2 linked regions of the Arabidopsis thaliana genome follow. The protein of the gene in region 1 interacts with the protein of each later gene in a pairwise test. Each region holds a gene or a part of one and is shown on either strand. Other genes may lie near its edges.

The links.
Region 2: the proteins of ZFP5 (region 1) and GATA23 interact in a two-hybrid assay, tested with the Arabidopsis thaliana proteins (one large-scale study listed by BioGRID).

The regions. Positions count from the first base shown.
Region 1 is NC_003070.9:3,447,851-3,451,727, forward strand, and holds ZFP5 (zinc finger protein 5), read left to right. Parts: upstream 1-1,840; 5' UTR 1,841-1,883; coding exon 1,884-2,519; 3' UTR 2,520-3,376; downstream 3,377-3,877.
Region 2 is NC_003076.8:9,477,661-9,481,020, forward strand, and holds GATA23 (GATA transcription factor 23), read left to right. Parts: upstream 1-1,763; 5' UTR 1,764-1,931; coding exon 1,932-2,072; intron 2,073-2,179; coding exon 2,180-2,401; 3' UTR 2,402-2,540; downstream 2,541-3,360. Other genes in the region: CBP60G (Cam-binding protein 60-like G), read left to right, coding at 1-193, 298-788. UniProt on the Arabidopsis thaliana protein: Transcriptional regulator that specifically binds 5'-GATA-3' or 5'-GAT-3' motifs within gene promoters.

The sequences.
Region 1 (3,877 bases):
CCAACCCACCCACCCACCTAGTAGCCACCATAAAGAAACTTTCAGAAAATCATAATTAGCTAAAATTATTCCACATGCTATTGGATAAATAAAAGATTATCGTTGACAGCATACTTATTTGGAATTCTTCTTTCCCTCGATTGATATAATATTACAATTTCTTACTTCAAAATTTTAAATAAAGGACCTGAGCGAGAGGAAAGAGGCTTTGATTGCATGAGACACCTATTGGTGGCAAGAAAGTCTACCAATCAGAGATCTTAGGTTGTACGAGTGAATATAATTATAACACCTAATAAGGATTAATTATTGTTATTTCACTTAATTGTCTTGATCTATCTTTTAAGTTACAGAGCAGTGGGGTCCTTAATTGGAACAACTGTCCAAACCAAATGCCATTTCATTAGACTTATTTGTATTAAAATAAGATTATCCCATGACTTGATTCACCTGAAAATAGAATAATCTATACCTTTCTTTAATATCAGTTTTCTTTCTGTATAAAATATTGTCTTCTCATGCTTTATGAAGATTTGCCCAAGATCTTGTTTTGAAGATTAGACTTATGAATATAATTTTTATTTGTTAAATAGTATAGATGCTTGCATCATTGCCCACTTCTTGTATTCCTTCATTTGGCAACTAACTATTCTCCCTGTTTAATGTAATAAGTAATTAACATTCATTAAACATGGTCAAGATAGGCTTTTTCTTTCTTTTTCACAGTAATTAGACAAATAAGATTTGGTTTAGGTGGAAGACATTGAGATAAATTACAAGAAAGCTTCAATTCATGCTCCATCATCAATTCTCTCTGCGAGCAACTTTAATTGATGGGAAATTTCAAAAATCTACAATGATAATTACATAAAAACACATCAATAAAAAGAATATCCAGTAGACTATTAACTTTGTTAGAGAACAAGGGACGACGATTCGTTTGATTTCGTTCTTGTTGCAATATGCTCTTGAGTGAACGTTTTGATACAAAATGTCATCTGCTCGCTTAAATTTATGATGGATATATGCGTTATTCAAATACATAGTGAAATTTAATATCATTATGGGATCAAAATATTATACTTAACCTTCCATGTTGATTATATTTTTTGGCCTAAGTTGGTTAGCCTTATTTCTTCATATCTTTCTTTGACTTTTGATATTAGATCAATAATATGATATTAACATCTTAATGTTCTCTTTAAGCTTAGAATATAACTTTTGTATTAATTGTCACAAGTGGTGTGATCGCTGCATGCCTTTTCAAATATATTTATTTATTCATCATATCTCAACTTAATCTAACTATTTTATTCACGCACTAAACAGAAAGTATTTTTCCACAATATTTAAAATAAATTAAATTTGATCAATTTTAAGTAAATGTAGATATAATAGTATAATACATAAGATAAAAGATAAAACAAGTTGACAAGTTAAGTCTTTATATATAGTATTTAAAAGATTTCTCTAACCCGTTTTATCATTTTGCCCTTTTTCTTTCCCATATATGCATATGCGCGTGGTATCCACATATATCTCTATAAAACCTATTACATGTTAGTGTAATATTTATTGTACCTATCAAGGTTTATTTTCCAAGATCATTTCTCGTCACACCTTAGATTCAAACAACTAATTTTATTATAAACCCTAAAATACTATAACTTGATGCTGTTCATGACTAATATAAAAAACCCTTCATACAATATAAAATTTCTTTAGACATACAATATATTATACTATTACAGATGCAATGCATCATTAGTTACAAACTATTAAACTAAATATCCCCCGTCTCTCTCTTGCTATATAAAGAAGATCATTTACACATCTCCTTAAGCAAATTAAACCCATCGATAAACACATACGTTCACACATATATGTCTATAAATCCGACAATGTCTCGTACTGGCGAAAGTTCTTCAGGTTCGTCCTCCGACAAGACGATAAAGCTATTCGGCTTCGAACTCATCAGCGGCAGTCGTACGCCGGAAATCACGACGGCGGAAAGCGTGAGCTCGTCCACAAACACGACGTCGTTAACAGTGATGAAAAGACACGAGTGCCAATACTGCGGTAAAGAGTTTGCAAATTCTCAAGCCTTAGGAGGTCACCAAAACGCTCACAAGAAGGAGAGGTTGAAGAAGAAGAGGCTTCAGCTTCAAGCTCGGCGAGCCAGCATCGGCTATTATCTCACCAACCACCAACAACCCATAACGACGTCATTTCAGAGACAATACAAAACGCCGTCGTATTGTGCATTCTCCTCCATGCACGTGAATAATGATCAGATGGGTGTGTACAACGAAGATTGGTCGTCGAGGTCGTCGCAGATTAACTTCGGTAATAATGACACGTGCCAAGATCTTAATGAACAAAGCGGTGAGATGGGTAAGCTGTACGGTGTTCGACCGAACATGATTCAGTTCCAGAGAGATCTGAGTTCTCGTTCTGATCAGATGAGAAGTATTAACTCGCTGGATCTTCATCTAGGTTTTGCCGGAGATGCGGCATAACAAATTAAAGAGAGATATATGATTAAGATTATATGTACTATAGTGGCGTATTTCATTGGGATCATGAAGGGGAAAAAACGAGACATATAGTATTCTTGATGCAATTTGAGTTTTGTAATTTATTTAGGTTTATGTATGTTTTCGAAGAAAAAAATAATTCCAAGTGATGTTGTGGAATTATTCAAAAAAAGAAAAAAAACTTTATTAGATGGCTTTACTAGAAAATTCTCGATCATCATCGTCATCCGATACAAAATAAAGTCAGGTAGAGGATCGAGCATTTATAAATTATGGAATAACAATAAATCGTACTATGGAAGCAAATCATTTTCTTGTTCCTTAGTTTGCTGACCGTACATATACTAGTTGACAAGGTTAATCCATAAATCTCTTTGTATCATTGTGTGCTGTGTTTTTTTTTTTTTTTTTTTAATACTGTGTGCCGTGTTGGTGCATTTGCGTAATTGATGGAGGCAACATTTTGAACATAATCACTTTCTTGTTGCTTAATTAGTGTATATGGCCATGGGTACGTTCTTCCTATTGGTACATATGCATGTATTTATATTACAAGGTGAGTATTCGTTACAAGTTGTGTACATATGTTCTTACACGTGCAATTCGTACACGCCTCAATTTGATTTATAGTCAAATTTCAAAAAATTTGTTAGAAATTTCATCTCAAAAGTTATAATATGATCTAACGTGAGACTAAAAAACATATGTGAATTTGAATGATATAAACTTGATGTTTTTTTTTAATAACCTATATACTTATTGTAGGTACAATCCAACGATTTTATGAATGTTGTATTTTTTTTGTATACACTGTAAAGACGATTTTATGTCATGGCTATTAATATAAGAATATACATTTTAAAAATAAGATTTTAAACTGATGTCTCTTACCAATCTCAAGACGAGTACTTGTGATTCTTCGGAGACAATGAGAAGAGTTTGTAAATTCTGAATACTCCTTAAACGAACAGAATAAGTGAATTTAGTGGTGGATATAACTAGCTTGACTTTAGATCTTATTCTTTCAAATAGATTTGGTGTAAGATTGATTCGACATTTCCCATTAAATCTCCAAACAAATATGTGCATCAATTCGTAACTGTACAGCTTTAAAAATACATATAATAAATGGAGTCGGCAGGTTTGTATATTAAATTAATTTGCGTGATTGGAATGATAAGCTTAAGATCCATCATCCAGTGTTGGAGGTCCCTTTAATTTTTGTCTACACATGTCACTTCCGACACCAACGGAACTCCATTTGCTTATGTGTGTATTGGATGCTTATCCCATTTAATTAAAAAAAAAAATGTTTTTAAAAGGTATTATTCCTTTATTGT
Region 2 (3,360 bases), on another chromosome or scaffold:
AATGGCAACGATATCCAAAACCTTGATCAGCCAATTCTAGACCAATTAAAGGCCGAAGCTTATCAAAACCTTAACCGCATTACAGCGGTTAACGATAGGACCTTTGTGGGTCATCCACAAAGGTCCTTACAGTGCCCGCAAGATCCTGGATTTGTCGTAACATGTTCTGGATCGCAGCACATCGACTTTCAAGGTATACAATATGTAATGGTCATGGTGTTAAGTCTTTTGATATATCTATATCTTACTATAGACTAATTAATAAAAAAATTGATGTACCTTTTTTCGAAAATATAGGAAGTTTGGATCCATCAAGCTCTTCGATGGCTCTTTGCCACAAAGCTTCAAGCTCAACGGTCCACCCTGATGTCCTGATGAGTTTTGATAACTCATCAACCGCGAGGTTTCATATCGACAAAAAGTTCTTACCGACTTTCGGAAACAGCTTCAAAGTAAGTGAACTCGATCAAGTACACGGAAAATCACAAACTGTTGTGACAAAAGGTTGTATAGAGAATAACGAGGAGGATGAGAACGCGTTTTCTTATCATCACCATGATGACATGACCTCAAGCTGGTCACCTGGTACGCACCAAGCCGTTGAAACGATGTTTCTTACCGTGTCTGAGACGGAAGAAGCTGGAATGTTCGATGTTCATTTTGCAAACGTTAATTTGGGATCTCCAAGAGCCAGGTGGTGTAAGGTTAAGGCAGCTTTCAAGGTTAGGGCAGCTTTTAAGGAAGTCCGGAGACACACAACTGCCAGAAATCCGAGGGAAGGCTTGTAAGAACTCTTGCCTACCTATTAAAATCAGCGGTTTCTTGCGTTGCACGATAAATGTGTATATATATTTGTGAATAGGGTTAGATAAATGGATCCCGGCCATTGAGTTACGGGGATTAGCCTTTGCGTATATCAAAGTATTTTTTTCCCTGGGTAAGTATAGCTGTGGCACAGGGTTTGTAAGTTGTAACCATATGCCGTATAAGAATCAGAGGTTTCTTGTTGTACACGAAAGCTATGTATAAATAAAAGCTATGTATATATGTTTTTTTCTACCATAACTTTTCAATAATGGATCTCGGCTATTGATTGTTCTAGACCAATATGATACATGAATAATCTTTGCGTACACCTAAATTTTATAGTGAAAAATACATAATTTTAAAACTTTACTTTTGTAGAGATGCCTAAAAAAAAATGGTTTACCACATGGACATTGTTATTTGTTCAGATCTCCAACGTATAGCAATATTTGTGATTTATAGATATGTAATTTGGTGTTCAAAGAATGTGTAGAACAATTATTCTTATGGGTATGCCAAGAAAAGTTATATAACTTTATTCTATACTGCTTTCACGTTAAATAATGTAACATTATTAATGTTGTCCTTTTACTTTTCCTTGAATTGATTTGGGAAGAAGACTATTGGCTTCCTTATCACATCAAAAAGTCTATGAGTAAGTGAAACATTGGCTGGCTTTTGCTTCATTCCTTTGTCTCTGTCTTCATGTGAACAAGTTTGCAGAAATTTGTGGTTTCTTTTTTTACTTTCTTTTGTCTAATACACACACTCTCACCACTATTATAAAGAAAATCCATAGATCCCGGTCGTGCGTACTGCCACTTTGCTTTCCACCCGACAATGATTTGGGAGATGTTTTGTTTTGTGTCATACATCTACCAAAAAAGTCTTAATCATTGTTCATCAAAAGAGCGCCCAAGGGCTCTTTCGTCTTCTTACCACACGCACACTAGTTCGAGAGGGTTTTTAAGGAGCTCTTAAGCCTTTCTTGATGACTCATACCACGAACAAGAACCAATCTTGTCACCCATATAATCTCCGTATTCAGAGAATTGAAGAGTTCTTGATCACTACTGTTGTATCAAAAAGGAACTCTAAGAACTAAGATTGTTTTTTTTTATTTGATGGATCCAAGGAAGCTACTATCTTGTTCATCCTCTTACGTGTCAGTGAGAATGAAAGAAGAGAAGGGGACAATTAGGTGTTGCAGTGAGTGTAAGACCACCAAGACACCAATGTGGAGAGGTGGACCAACTGGTCCTAAGGTCTCTTCTTCTACCTTTAATTACTATATTCATAACTTTGTTTGATCTTAAGATAATTCATCAAGTGTTCTTAAGTTGTTTATTTTGATTTGTGGTGGGATTTGCAGTCACTTTGCAATGCATGTGGAATTAGACACAGAAAACAGAGACGATCAGAGTTATTGGGTATTCATATTATTCGCAGCCACAAAAGCTTAGCCTCCAAGAAGATAAACCTATTATCATCATCACACGGTGGCGTGGCGGTGAAGAAACGAAGGAGTCTAAAGGAGGAAGAACAAGCTGCTTTGTGTCTATTGTTATTGTCTTGTAGCTCTGTTTTGGCCTAAGTCAAAAAACAGAATATCTCTCGCTAGAAAGTTAAAAAAACACAGTTTTGTCCTCTCCTTTGTTGACGTTCTATATCTATTTTGGGTCACTCTTTTGAATATGAATAATTTAAGATTTAATGAAATAAGTTGGGCCTAACTTTGTGTCGAAAGGCCACAAATGAATTTTAAATAGATTGGAGTATTTCTGTTTGGGCTTTACATTGACTTGGTTGGAGATGGTCTTAGAGTAACTTGAATAAGATCTTCACGTAGATCATCACTGCGAGACGAAATCGGGTATGGACTGATCTGGGTGATCATGCTTCTCGGAGTGCAACATTTCAACCGAAATCAGATCGTGCTCGAATACTTTTCATAATGTACCAAACTATAAAGTAGGGTGATGAAATTTGCCAAAAGTGGAAACATGTCGACCCTTCTTACTTCAAGCCACGTAGATCCGTATTTGTCGGATCGGGTCACAGATCCGAATAAAACGGGTCTCTCTCTCTCTCCCACTCTCCCTCTCACGCGACCTGTTTACTTCAATCTCAATTATGCTCTCTCCCTCTCTCTATTAAACAGTCGATTTCTTACAAAAATTCTCACTTCCGTGCAAGCAAATGCAGTCTTGTTTCGAGTTTGATTCACACAAGGCAAGTATCTTCTCCTCTCCGATTCATTTTCTCCTTCTGGGTCATTTCGATTCTCTGTAATTAAAGACAAAGTTCGTCTCTTTTTAGGTCTCCTCGTTGAAAAAAACTCAGATTTTGTTTGATTCCCTTCTTCATTTCTGCAATTCCTCACTTGTTTTCGAATTAAAATCAAAAATTCGTTTCTTTTGAATTTGACTTATCGTTTTCTTTACCCTGTTTGATTTGTCTGGATGCTTACACAATTAGGTGAAAGTTATGATTTTTATTGCTTCCTAGATTTCTAAACCAAGGAAAAGATTTGAAATTCAAAGTCTCTGTAAC